Linked DNA regions of Cricetulus griseus. The protein of the gene in region 1 interacts with the protein of each later gene in a biochemical or structural test. Links are inferred from orthologs where the notes say so. Each region holds a gene or a part of one and is shown in the gene's direction. Other genes may lie near its edges.

What was found.
Region 2: the proteins of Sptbn2 (region 1) and Actr1a form a complex in vitro, tested with the Homo sapiens proteins (2 studies listed by BioGRID). The link is inferred for Cricetulus griseus from reciprocal best matches to the Homo sapiens genes SPTBN2 and ACTR1A.

The regions. Positions count from the first base shown.
Region 1 is NC_048596.1:54,561,599-54,568,324, reverse strand, and holds part of Sptbn2 (spectrin beta chain, non-erythrocytic 2), read left to right. Parts: intron 1-3,450; coding exon 3,451-3,602; intron 3,603-4,010; coding exon 4,011-4,184; intron 4,185-5,172; coding exon 5,173-5,264; intron 5,265-5,402; coding exon 5,403-5,483; intron 5,484-5,861; coding exon 5,862-5,977; intron 5,978-6,726. UniProt on the Homo sapiens protein: Probably plays an important role in neuronal membrane skeleton.
Region 2 is NC_048596.1:15,199,738-15,207,255, forward strand, and holds the start of Actr1a (alpha-centractin), read left to right. Parts: upstream 1-3,628; 5' UTR 3,629-3,735; coding exon 3,736-3,783; intron 3,784-7,518. Other genes in the region: Sufu (suppressor of fused homolog), read right to left, coding at 1,941-2,122. UniProt on the Homo sapiens protein: Part of the ACTR1A/ACTB filament around which the dynactin complex is built. The dynactin multiprotein complex activates the molecular motor dynein for ultra-processive transport along microtubules.

The DNA.
Region 1 (6,726 bases):
TCATGTCTGAGCATCTGACACATAAGTCCTGTCAAGCTGCACACAAGACTTGCTCCGATCAGAACAGTCACCATATGCACACACCACTCGGTGCTCTTGTGGAGTGTTTATCCCCCGCTCAAGGCAGGCTCCCCTGAAGAGCCATCTCTGAATGGGCTTTGCTGTGCACAGTGCCACTCACTCAGTAGGTGCCAAATAAATCCTAAATGATTAAGGATGAGAAGGAACAAGTGTAGGTGCCAGTGACAAAAGCAGAAGCCCAGGAAGAGGTAGGAAGGGCACCTCATAGTTGTACCCATTACTAGGGTGTATGGGGGCTGAGATGTTGACTGAGGGGCCTGGTGCGCAAAGGGCTGGTGCTGGGGGACATTTGCAATACTTACTCCCCAGAGGAGGCCATAGAAGTCAAAACGGGCACACCTGCTTCTCTTCCAGGATCTCCTTGCTTCCTGTTTCTCTGTTCTCAGGGGCCGAGATCAAAGTTCAGGTGTCCTGAAACAAGCCCACCCATAGATGCCCAGAGAGGCCTTGCCCACGGCAGACCTTCTGAAAGCAGGAGTTTGCTTTGGGGCCCCCTCTGGCAGGTTTTCCCTAGTCTTGGGCAACTAGTGGCCTGACGAGCAGGTCTCTCTCTGGGTGCTGGCAACACCCTCCTCCGCCCCTGCAGGGCCTGGCCAAGCCCCAACTGGCTCCGCCTCCTGAGCAGCGTGCCCCTCCCCCGCCACTGTCCGACCTGTTTGTCTGGAGCTGCCTCTGTCTCCTCTCCCCACAACCAGGTGTGCCCTACTCACTGTCTCAGAAGCTCAGGCATCCTAAAACTTTCCCCCCACTCCTTGAAACTCCCAGCATCCTTGAAACAACTCCACCCAACCAGGTACGGAAGCCTTTTTTTGGACCCCCAGCACAGGCTTAGGGGACACACACTCTTGGCCCTGCCCTGGCAGGGGAGCATGGACTCTGGGCCACAGGCTGAGTAGGAGGTAGCAGGCACCATGAGTGCGAACGGAGTGGGCAGGATACATGGAAATGGCCTGAACGGGGCCGGTGAGTTTTACTATGAGGCTGTGGAAGGGTCTCAGAACCCTGGGGGCGTCCTGCTCTCACCAGCTGCCTTCATCAATCCTGCTCAGTATGCCAGTGTGCTGGAAGGACGCTTCAAACAGCTTCAAGGTGAGTTTCCCCGGGGCAGAGGGAGCCTGTGTGCCAAAGGGGACCTGGGATAGGAAGAGCTAGCATGCCTGGAACCCCTGTTACTCAACGTGGTGGAACTTACAGGGAATCATTGCAAGTAGCCAGAGAATCCAGATATGTGGACAACTGAAATTCTACTGAATGAGACCTGGGGTGGGGGTGCCCTGCTGGGTGCAAAGGTGATGAGGGTGAAGGTAGCTTGTGGGTTCATGTCGTCCGCTAGAGAGGCCCTCGCAGTCTCCCTGGTGGCTCACCCTCATGGTTTGGCCATGTTGGCCTTGTTAAGGAAGGAGAAAAGGGGAATGGGCTAGAGGCCTAGGACCTTGAGCTTCTATGTGTTTTCCTGGGCTTCAGAATGACTGTGGAGGGAGGATGTGTAGAAAATAGAGAGCGTGTGTCAAAGGGGAGGGTTTGTACACACAGGTCCATAGGTGTCTGAACAGGAATGTTCATCTTGGCACATGATAGTTTATTTCATGGTGTGTGTGTTTAGGGATGTCTTGTAATGCTACACTTGGGTGTCTAGCTTTACCAGGTCTTTCTAGGTACTGCTTCCACTTTAGTCTACCTATGGGCCTCACACCAGCCTGCCTGGTATCAGAGAGGTCTCCGTGGATTCAGTAATGGCCAGATGACTTAATCTGTCCTCAACTCATATAGGGCCTAGGACCCTAAAAGAGGTCCAGAGTCACCATAGGCATCACAAGTGCTGGAGTGGGGGGGGGTTATCCCACACGGTGGTTAGGATCCCAGGTTTGGCATAGGCACAGGAATTGGAGGTGAGGAAGTCAGGAGTAGACTTGGGTGTGTGGCTGTTTTATGGGGGAGGTGCACAGGAACATGAAATTAAGGGTTGAGTCTAGATTTCTGAGGTACTGGTTCTGAGATGGAAGTAAATCTACACACATACCCCTGTGGCTGGGTCCCCACATGGGTCTCTCTGACCTCTAAAGTAGCTTACTGTGCAGAGCTTACCTGTCCCTTTCCATTTATAACATTTTTAATCATCAGCTTCCTGTGCAACCTGACAGCATCCCTTGTTAGGAGCTCCCCCTGGGGACTAGGCTACCTGGCCTTGCCTACCTCTCCTGGAGGTTGGCACTCAACTCCACCTGCATTACTCCCTTGAACTTGAAAGTTCTTTTTTTGGGCGGAGGGGGGTTGAGACAGGGTTTCTCTGTAGCTTTGGAGGTTGTCCTGGAACTTTCTCTGTAGACAAGGCTGTAGACAGAGATCCGCCTGCCTCTGCCTCCCGAGTGCTGGGTCTAAAGCTGTGCGCCATTTGTTTTTGTTTGAGACAGGATCTCACTGTCTGGTGAGATCTGCCATGGCTGGTCTGGAATTCGCAGAGATAGGCCTGCTTCTGCCTTCCAAGATTAAAGACATGCAGCACCATGCCTGGCCTAAATTCTTATAAAGTCTTTCTGAATCTTGGGGTATTGGTGTTCTAGGTCTGGATCCACTATAGCCAACTGTGCAACACTGCCTTGGGGTAGAGTAGCCTACCGTTTCTGTACATGACCCAGAACAGGGAGCTGCCTTAAAGGCCCACACAACCTCTCCACGGTCAAGTCCAGTTGCTGACCATCTGCGAGATCTGTCATATTTACAGGCCACATCTTCTCCCTTGCCACAGTTGAAGGAGAAGGAGGGCCCTGCCTTTATCAAAGCTCCCCAACAGGGAGCCACATCACACTGGGCAACCACTAAATGTGTCATACCCAGTATCTCATTTAATTGCTACAGTGACCCAATAAAGTAGGAAATAATATGCTCATCCTACAAATAGAGAAACTGAGGCACTGAGTAAGTTGTCAGTATTTCATCTCTTTACAGCATGAAGCCTAACCCCAGCACCTTCCTGGGCATTTCTTCTTGAGGCCTTTTTTATCTGTCTTGGTTTTTCTTTTTTTGTTGTTGTTTTGTTTTGTTTTTTTTCAGAGACAGGGTTTCTCCATGTAGCCTTGGCTGTCCTGGAACACTCTCTGTAGACCAGGCTGGCCTCAAACTCACAGAGATCCACCTGTCTCCACCTGGGATTGAAGACTTTGTCTTCCTCTTTTTATCCTTTCCTTTGCTCATGAGCTCATCCCGGCCTCTTCATTTCTTAGCTTTTTTCTCTTGGTCATCGCTAACCCTGCCGATCCCAGCTGTCACTTCTGCTCTCTCAGGCACCACATTCCACACCATGCCAGTTGGTGTTTAGAAGCAAGCATACTGTCCTTGAAGGGCAGAAGTGACTCCTTGTTGTCGCTGCAGATGAACGAGAAGCTGTGCAGAAGAAAACCTTCACCAAGTGGGTGAACTCCCACCTGGCCCGGGTGACATGCCGGGTGGGAGACCTGTACAGCGACCTGCGGGACGGGCGCAACCTCCTGAGGCTCCTGGAGGTGCTCTCGGGAGAGACCCTGGTGAGCAGGGGTAGTGAACAGAAGAGGGAGCTTCAGGGAACAAACCACAGGGGCTGCCATAGAGCACTGAGCAATATACCAAGGCTCCTCTGACTAGAGGATGCTCTCATTCCAAGAGGCTTTGCTACCTGATTACATGGGAGCCATGCTTTGCAGAGACAGGAACAGTGGCCCCATTGAAAACATTTCTTCTCCCACCCACTCTGGGTGCAATTAATTCCCTTGGGAATCTTAATCTGCCCAAGCCTCATCTGTAACCTTGCTTGGGCTCCATGACCTCTGGCTTGACCCTAGGGCTGTCACTGTGTTCCCAAAGGAAGTCATGGGAGGTATGGGGCAGGTTGCTGAGAAAACTAAGAAGAAAGAGAGCCGTGGTCCCATGCCACTGTGCCTTCCATCCACCCACAGCCAAAGCCCACAAAGGGCCGAATGCGGATTCACTGCCTGGAGAATGTGGATAAAGCACTACAGTTCCTGAAGGAGCAGAAAGTACACTTGGAAAACATGGGCTCCCATGACATCGTGGACGGAAACCACCGTCTGACCCTCGGGCTGGTGTGGACCATCATCCTTCGATTCCAGGTATCCTCCAAGTGTTATCTAAGGTGTGAGCTGTGCACCAATCAGTTTTATGCCCCCACACTGTTAACTTATTATGGTCCATGACAAGATAGAAACAAAAATTGAGGGGCTGGAGAGATGGCCTAAGAGTTAAAAACACTATAATGGCTGTTCTTCCAGAGGAACTGGGTTTAATTCCCAGTACCCATTTGGCAGCTCACAACCACTTATAACTCTAGTTCTATGGGATCTAATACCTTCTTCTGGCCTCTGAGAACACCAGGCACACACATGGCGCACAGATAAACATACAGGCAAAATACCCATACACATAAAAATAAAATAATAAATAAATTTAAAAATTGAGCATAGAGGGCTGGAGAGATGGCTCAGAGGTTAAGAGCACTGACTGCTCTTCCAGAGGTCCTGAGTTCAATTCCCAGCAACCATATGGTGGCTCCCAACCATCCCTTATGAGATCTGGTGCCCTCTTCTGGTGTGCAGATATACATGGAAGCAGAATGTTGTATACGTAATAAATAAATAAAATCTTTTTTTTTTAAAAAAGTGTTCTAAAAAAAATTGAGCATAGGGAGCTTCCTAGAGCAGCTGCCCTTGAAGCATATCCATTTACTTTCCATGATACTCCGTCTCAGTGTCACCTCAACTGCTCTAATTGTACCTGTCCTTCCCCAGTGGCCCTCTCCCTCTTTCACTCAAAACAGAGCTCTTTCAGCTCTATCTTTGAAAGCCAGCTCTCAGAAAACATTCATTCCCCTGCTCACATTCTCCACCTGGAAGAACCAGCTCCCTTACTCATAGGTACTTCCGCTCCACCGACACCCTACTTCAGATCCTCTGGGCCTGATAATAAGTGTCACTAGCCCAGGAAATAAGGGGCCCATTATACAACACTCCTAAAGATCAGTTTTCTGTGATTTTTCTGAGTGTCTCTGGTATCACCAAGACACCCAATGGGGAGTGAAGGTCCTATTTGCTACTTTCTCAGATCCAAGACATCAGTGTGGAGACAGAAGACAACAAGGAGAAGAAATCAGCCAAGGATGCCCTGCTGCTGTGGTGCCAGATGAAGACCGCAGGGTGAGGAGATCCAGGAGCATGGCTATAGGGGTTGGCCACACTGAGATGGACTCTCCGGTTCACAACCTGCCTGATGTTCTTTTATCACAGACCAGGGCTCTGAAGCACTCGCTATTTTTTCCTGGTCTTTCTTTATAGGTATCCCAATGTCAATGTGCACAACTTTACCACCAGTTGGAGAGATGGGCTGGCCTTTAATGCCATCGTGCACAAACACCGGTAAGTGTTTGGTGAATTCACGGGTTTGGTGAATACATGGATTAATGGCCCAGGAGAACACAGCAGAGGCCAGGAGAGTGACTGAATTACAGCATAGTTATAGAGGAAAAAATGAAGGGAAATCTCAGTCTTTAAGGGGGCAGCAAATTCAAGGCCAGTCTGGTCTCAAAGTGAATTCCAGGCCAGTCAAGGCTGCATAAGAAGAGACCCTGTCTCAAAAAGAACAGGGAAAAGAATGTGCGAGAGGAGCCGGCAAGTAGGATGGTATACTTCCAGGGGGCTTGGGGCACTTCAAGCCAGGAATGAATTTACATTGTTTTCTTTGGGCTCTGACATGCTTTGGATGTGTTCTGTGTCACCCCCCACTCTCACCCCTAGGCCAGACCTGCTGGATTTTGAGTCCCTGAAGAAGTGCAATGCACACTACAATCTGCAGAATGCTTTCAATCTGGCTGAAAAGGAACTTGGCCTGACCAAGCTCCTGGATCCTGAAGGTGGGTCAGAGCTCTGCAAAACAGGTGTAGGGAAGACAGAGGCAAATTGGGGTTGTCAGGGGAAGACCAGCAGCAGTGGAGGAATGCAAATATTCTGGAATCAGGTGGTAGCCATGATTTCCACAACCATATGAATACACTCCAAGCTGCTGAACTGAATCCTTTAAAAGGATAACTTTTAAAGTTGCATCTCAAAGAAAAGAAAAAAGGTACCTGCATGTTGGCTTACACCTGCAATCCCAATACTCAGCAGGCAAGGGTAGAAAGAAGGGTTAGGAATTTAAGGCCAGCTTTCCTATATAGCAGGTTTGAGGACAGCCTGGGCTACATGAGACTCTGCCTCAAAACAGTTTGTAAGAATAAAGGGAGCCCTGCCTCAGAGAGAGCTCTGGGCTGTAGGTTCTTTCTCAGCCCAGAGCACCTATATGATTTAGAGCCAATCACTTAGCCTGGCTTAGTTTCCTCATTTCCAAAATGAGAAGACCAGAGCTGGGAATGAAATTCAGAGGCAGAGTGGTCATTGTGCACACTCCAGTACCACAAAAATAACTGAACATTTAAAAATAAAATGAGAGAACTCTGGTTCGTGTGATATCTGATGTATTCTAAATTCTAAGGTTTTGGTTAAGTCAATTGTCCCTGCTGACTGCCTCCCATGGTGCGACGGTCAGTTATGGCCAATGGGCTCTGGGCTCTGAACCTGATGCTGCACTGCACTTGACATAACTTACTTGTGCTAACAATGTCCC
Region 2 (7,518 bases), about 39 Mb from region 1:
TGCTGTACATGCCTTCCCAGTTGTTACCACATGCTGGTCTACCTCTGAGGACACAGCCTCACTACAAGCTTGTGGTAGAAAGAAGGAAGAAAGGAAGGAAGAAGGAAGGAAGGAAGGAAGGAAGGAAAGAAAAGAAAAGAAAAGAAAAGAAAAGAAAAGAAAAGAAAAGAATGCTGTAACTACTTTGGTCCTTTGTATAATGCTTCCATACCTTGACCACACAACTCTCATGACAGCCATGTAGGTAACAAAGCCAGTTGCCCTATTCTTTGAGGGACTTCCCCTCACACTTAAACAAGATCAGAGCAAACACACACCATGGAAAGGCCAGCCTCATTTCTCTCATAACATGGGACAAGTTCACAACATAGTTAAATATAAAGGTGCAATTAAAATGATTAAGTTAGCAAGAGCTACTACTGGTTGGATTTGTGCATGCCTTTAATCCCAGCACTCCAGAGACAGAGACAGGGGAATCTCTGTGCTTTCCAGGTCAGCCTGGTCTATAAAACGAGTCTGGGACAGCCAGAGTTACATAGTGAGACTCTGCCTCAAAAAACAAACAAACAAACAAGGTTACCAAGAGCTGTTTTCCACTCATGCTGTTTTCCGCCTGTGAACAGCATGCCTGCCACAGATGCACTCCTGGCTACCAGAACAGAGGCTGGTCCCCAGGCCCTCCAGGCTGTCAGTTTTCTTTGCATCATCCTCTCACCGACACAGGGAGTTAATCTCATCCCTGTACAGCCTAACTGCCTTCCCCAGAGGCCGCAAGGGGTGTTGCATAGGAAAAGGACAGCCTTAAAAGGGGTGTAAACCAGCAACAGCATCCACTTTCCCCCTTCAGGTCCACCTTTTGCCAGTACCCCAAGCAGTTGCCCCGGGAGTCTTCCAAGATCCACTGAAAGGGATCATCTAATACATTGAGTTCCTGCATGAATGCGGCCATCTCTTAGTCTATTTTTGGTCCAGAAAGACAATGAGAACTCGTCCCCATAACACCTGTTGCAAACAAGAACGGGAAATCAGAAAGGGTAGTTTCTTCCCGAAGAACAGCCCATTTGGAAACTAATCCTTTACTGAGCAACTTTAAACTTATCCTGGGCTTCCCAGGAGAAACTTCGGCTGAAATCCTGAAGACATGACAGGAGGCGCGTCTTCAGGCTGCCCCTGACCACGACTAAGGTCTCCTCCATGCAGTTCCCATGCAGTATCCCCTTCAATCCCGAGCCAAAGCACGGCTCACTGAGCCTGTTCTTCACTAAAGTCCTAAAGCAAAAGCAGCTGCAACGCCAGAAGCAAGCTCTGCAGAGAGAGAACTGTGCAGAGTAAGCAAAAAGTTTATCTGGAAGAGTGGCTCTGTCAAACTTCAAGAGCAACAGCTTCGTACTGAATGACAGAAGCTCCAGCGCTCGGGAAGGTCCCGAAAGAAGGTCTCCTCCTCAACTCTTCACTCATCAAAGGCACAATGCCCTCATCTTCCTCCCTCCTAGCCCACAGGGGCTTCCTGGTCCCCAGACCGCCCTGGACTACGCGGTCTCGCGCCCTCCAAAGCACTCTCAAATGCTCTCCAGGCCCCGCCTCACCTCCCCCATCCCACTCCAGCCGCCCCCTGGCTTCCCCAAGCCCACCAATGACCCACCCCAGGCGCCCCTCCTTTCTCCACGTTTACAGTTCGCTCTCACACGTCCCCCCTCCGCCCCTGCTCACACCCCCGGCTCCCAGTCCCCCCAGTCCCGGTTAACCCCTCACTACTCAGAGGGTCCGTTAACCCTTTGTCCCCACTCCCAACTTCTGTCTTAACTCCGTCCCCAGCATCAGGAAGCTCCCGGCTCCCAAGTCCTTTAACCGTTTTCTTCCTCCCGCTGCTGCAAACTACTTCGTGCCCGGCGCTCGAAGCCGTCCCGGCGGCCCCGGTCCCCCCGAGGCCCAGGGCATACCAGTACTTGACGATAGCGGTGACCTGGAGCGGGTTCGGCTGGTCGGGGTAAAGGCGGCGGCACTCTCCGTAGATGGCGTGCAGTCCCGGGGGAAAGAGTGAGGCGAAGGCCGGAGAGGCACTAGGGCCAGGGGCCGGGGGCGCGGCGGGGCCGGGGGCGACGCTAGGCCGCAGCTCCGCCATCGGGGCGCGTAGGGCGCGCGGGGAACCCGGGAGGGTAGAAGAGGGGAGGCGCCCCGATGGGCCAGCGGACCCACAGTGGACGAGACTCCCCGAGGCGATGGGGGCTACGGCGAGGTCTAACTCCGCGCCTGCGCACGGTGCTCCGTCCGCCCAAGCCCTAGCCTTCGCAGAGTCGGCCAGAGGGTGCTGCGGGACCGCGGGGAGCTCCAGGGGGCGGGGCGTCGGTGTGCCCTTGGCTGCCGCCCATTGGTTAGTGCCGTTGCCAGTCACAAATGGAGAGGCGTGACTTGACAATAGGCCCCGCCTCCCTGCCTCTGTGTTGGGAGCGTCCCAAGGATCTCGGCCTCCCCCTAGTGTTAGGAGGAACCCAGTTTGAAACAGACGCGGAACCTGGAGGTGCCAGGAGTGGTGAAAGCGCTAAGAAGCTCCTAGCTAGTACTGTTTTCCTGATACGCGATTTTAAGATAAGCCTGACAACTGACCAACTCATTCGTTTGTGTGTCTTTATTAATATGTTACAACTCTTTAATATATCTCGGTGCCGATGACTCAAAGAAACTTGAAGAGGCAGGGAAATAAATACTCCAGGGGAAAGCATTTACGCATACTTTCTCTTTGCCTGAATATTCTCACCTATCAAGTTGTTTTTGTTTGTTGTTGTTTTTTTTTTTTTTTTGGTTTTTCGAGACAGGGTTTTTCTGTGGCTTTGGAGGCTGTCCTGGAACTAGCTCTTGTAGACCAGGCTGGTCTCGAACTCACAGAGATCCGCCTGCCTCTGCCCCCCCCCCCCAGGGCTGGGGTTAAAGGCATGTGCCACCAATGTCCGGCTCCATCAAGGTTTTAAGCTCAAGAAAAGATACTAAAGCAGTCTCTAAACCTGTAGATAATATTTTAGACCAGTATTCTATTGCATCCAACTACAGGTATTTTTTTGATAACCTTTGTTTTGCTTCATGGGTTTTTTGTTTTGTTTTTTCGAGACAAGGTTTTTCTGTGTAGTCCCGGTTGTCCTGGAAACTCTGCAGACCAAACTGGCCTCGAACTCAGAGATCCGCCTGCCTCTGCCTCCAGGGTGCGCCACTAGCTACGGGCACTGCTGCGCTTCTTATACGTGCTGGGAAAGCATTCTGCCCTTGAGCGACATTTCAGTGCCAGAAATGTTTATTAATGGTTTACATTGCCCAAGTGCAGGAATGGCTGAGTGGTGAGATGAATAGGTAAAACTCAACAGCCCCTGAACTACTGTCAAACCTAACCTCAACTAAGTACAAGTACTCCAGACTCTGGAATTTAAAGGAAAAGCTTCGAAGGGACTACAAATCCAGGCATGCACCATAATGAACACCTGTGGCGCTTGACTCTACCGAGACTACAAACCCCATCGCACCCTTCATCGGAAACACAATCCAGTTTTCTAAACCCGGCGGGACTCGGGCTCTGCCTGGAGCGCCAGCCCTGGGGCAAAGGATGCTGGGGATTGTAGTTCTTCGGAGACGAGGTCGGGCCGCTCCCTGGACGGCCAGTACCGGCGACTAGACTGCGCATGCGCGTCAGTGGCGTTTGCAGCGGACCGGGCTGGCAGTTCCTTCCTCGGAAGGAAAGATTCCTCTGCCATGGAGTCCTACGATGTGATCGCCAACCAGCCTGTCGTGATCGACAACGTGAGTAGCGCCTTTCCTATCTCTAGAGAGACTGCGCTGCCCTCCAGAAAGGGTCGCTTCCGAGGTTTCAGCCTAGGCCGCCTGCTCTTTGTCACTGGCCCGGCCTGTCAGGCGGGTCCAGCCGCCGCCGCCCCCGTCCTCCCCACAGCCACAGTTTGCAGGCAGGGCGGCCAGCAGCACTCGTGTGATGGAGAGCTTGGGCGTAAACAAAGGGAAGAGCTGTAGCCCGAGAAGGGTCCTTGGACCCTCGGCTCAAGGGGCCTTAACCGTTCTGAGACCCTAGCACCCGCCTTCTCCCTGGCTTCTCGTCACCCAATTGGCTGCTCTCGCTGTCTATCTCAGCCTGTTGGTCCCGCCTTTGGGCCTGGCCGGATTAGACCAGCAGTGTGCGGTAATTGGCTGGCGAGCCTGTCGCTTCCTTTCTGGGAGGGGTGGGGCGGTGCGCTGGGGCGGCGGGGATTGGCTTGGCGCACTCCGGGAGCGGAAGGCGACGGCTGGTCCAGCGGTGAAGGTGGGGTGTGAGCCGGCTGGGCCGCATAGGAAACTGAATCAGGGTGGGGCCGCATAATGCGGTGCCAGAAATGCCTATGGGATTCCAGTTATTTTTGTGATTAGGAATTCTCGTTAGCAGCGGTAAACAAAGAAGGAGAGTGACAAAGCAGGCCAGGTGCCCTCCTCTCGGCCGTGCCCGGCTGAGAGGCCGGGAGGTGACCAGACGCGTGAGCGTCTGTCAGGTACGCTAGCGTTTCCAGGGCGCTCTCGCCAGCCTGTCAGTTGAAGCCAACCTCACAGAAAGTGAACGGTTAAGAAGGAAGTTTGCGTCTCCTTTCACAGAACGAACACCGAAGATGGAAGTGACCAAGGTCATATTCCGCAGCGGTGCCCTGTATAAGTTCATCGCCTTATCTAAATGTCATCCCTTTGCTAACCACCCCTCCACGAACGCATCGATAATGATGAATAGAAAGAGCCTAAGGATTGCCTTTATGAGGCGGGGCAGTATGTCTAAGGTTTCTATGCTTCACCCAAAGTTTTGGTCCTGTGCTCTTTCAGCATCCCTCCTTTGAGAAACCGCTGTGGAGTAACCCCTCTGTCCTAGGCCGACCTTATCGGAGTAACTGTGATGTTCAGCCCTTCTCACCTGGGCGTGCCGCTAGGTTCTTTTATTTGCATAGTAGGTAGATGGAGATTGCTTTCCCAGTTTATGCAGGAACGTGAGACTCGGGAAGGTTTTTCAGACGGCCCCGTTAGGAGTTGAAGATCCAAGACTAACAATGAAATCATCTAGTTCCAAGTTCTTCAATCTTTCAAGGAAGGCTGTCTTATTTGTTGTAAACTGCCTTTTTAAAAGGTGAGGCTGAGCCTGGCAGTGGTGGCGCACACCTTTGATCCCCCAGCACTCTGGAGGCAGAGGCAGGTGGAACTGTTTTAGTTCAAGGTCAGCTTGGTCTACAGAGCTAGTTCCAGGACAGCCAGGACTGTTATATAGAGAAACCTTGTTTTGTTTTGGAAAACAAAAAACAAAGTGAAGCTGAGACTCGGCGGGGAGGGGGGGGGTATGTCACCCGGCTGGTAGCATTGTCTGACATTTGTGAAATCCTGGGCTCCATCCCCAGACAGCATAGACCTGGTATAGAAGTCAGATGTGGGGCTGGAGAGATGGCTCAGAGGTTAAGAGTACTCGCTGCTCTTACAGAGGTCAATTCCAGCAACCACATGGTGGCTCACAGCCTTCTGTAATGCAACCTGGTACCCTCTTCTGGCCTGGGCAGAACATTATACATAATAAATATAAATAAATAAATATTTAAAAAAAGAAGTCAGATGTGGTCCATGCCTGTAATCCCAGCACTTGGAGACAGGAAAATCAGAAATTCAAGGTCATTGTTTGAAGCCAGCCTCTAAGACCCTGTTTGTTTGTTTGGGATAGTAGGTTAAGCAAAGTTAAATGAGACACCTTGTTTTGAAGTATTAGTTTTTGTCTTCACTTAGACTAGACAGACTTTTTAAATCATGTGGGGAGAGTGAGATCCTTCATTTTTCATCCCACAATGTCTCTCTCCCCTCCCCTCCCTCCATCTCTATCTTGTGTGTGTGGTGTGTGGTGTGTGTGTGTGTCTGTCTGTGTGTGTCCAGATGTGTCTCTTGTGCATGACCACACACGTGCATGTGAGAGAGCTGGTGCCTTTGGAGGCCAGAAGAGGGCTTAAATTTTGTAGAACTAGCGGCCGCAGGCAGTTATGAACTATCCAACATGAATGGGGTGCAGGGAAGGATGCAAACTCTGGATCTATCCCAGTGTGGCAGCTGGTGCTCTTTAACTACTGGGCCATCTCTCCAGCTCACCACTACTCCTCTTCCACCCGACTCTACAAGGCATTGAGAGCCCGGTACCACTATGCACACAATAAAGCCTTTTCATTGGCTAGGTGAGTGGATAGGTGAATAACTAATGATCTCTATCATGGTAACAGAAAATGGCCAGGGGGAAGGGAGACCCAATCAAGGTGAGGGGTTTCAGATATGTTTGTAATTCTGCAAATGATAGAGTGATACTTCTTTCTTTAGTTTGTTTGAGACGGGGTCTCAAGACACTTCTTGTTCTCAGTGTTGATATCCAGAGAGCATGACTACTTATGTCTTTAGCTACCTGTGTTTTGGAGCTACCTCTTTCTTAGTCATTAAAAAATGCAGAGAAGTGCCAAGTCTCAGACTGGAGAAATGACTCAGCAGTTACGAGCACTTGGTCCTCTTGTAGAGGGCCAGAGCTCCGTTCCTAGTACCCATGTAGGCAGCTGACAACCTGAAACTAGAACGCCAGAGGGTCAGATGCTCTCTTTGGTCTGAGGGTACTTGCACTTCACCTGCACAGACACACATACAAGACATGTGCATATACACATAATTATTTTTTAAAAGAATTGTCAGCTTTTGTTTTGGCATTAGCAGTGCAAGAAGCATCGGTTCACCCCACCATCCCCTTTTCCTTGGATCCCTCAGGGGAGTTGAAGTTACAGGTGGTTGCGAATCACTCAGTATGGATTCTGGGAACCAGACTCCAGTCCTTTGGGAGAACATCGATTGCTCTTAACTGATGAGCTATCTCTTTGGCCCCCTTACTTCTTTTTTGTTTTTTGAGATCTAAATGAGTCTGAAAGTTTGTGTGCTACCTGCATGCAGTGCCCTTGGAAGCCAGAAGAGGGCATCTGATGACTGGAACTGGAATTCCAGACAGTTGTAAGCTGCCTAGTTGGTGCTTGGGAGTCAAACCTGTGTCCTGTGGAAGAGCAGCAAGTGCTCTTAGCTGATGAGCCATCCCTCGGCCTTTGTTCCTTTTCTTACAAAGATCCTCACTCTGTAGCTCTGGCTACCCAGGGGATTCATTATATAGACAAAGCCAGCTTCAAACTTAGGGGCCTCCTGTCTACCTGCCTCCAGAGAGCTGAGATTACAGGTGTGTACCAGCTGGTTTTTGGATTTTCCTGGAAAATCAGAAGGATAATTTCACGTGCAGTCTTTAATTTGTAACCATTGCCAGTAAATCTAACAGTATGCTGTGGTTTATAAAAACAGGTAGGTTGGTAGCTACAAGTGCTGGAAGAATGGGTACATATAATGCAGAATGACTGTTACTGGGCACAGGGCCTCTTTTGAGAGTGATAAAAAATTCTTCAGTTAGTTACAAATTTATGGCTAGCCTTGGCTATATGGTTAAACCCTGGTTATATACAATTC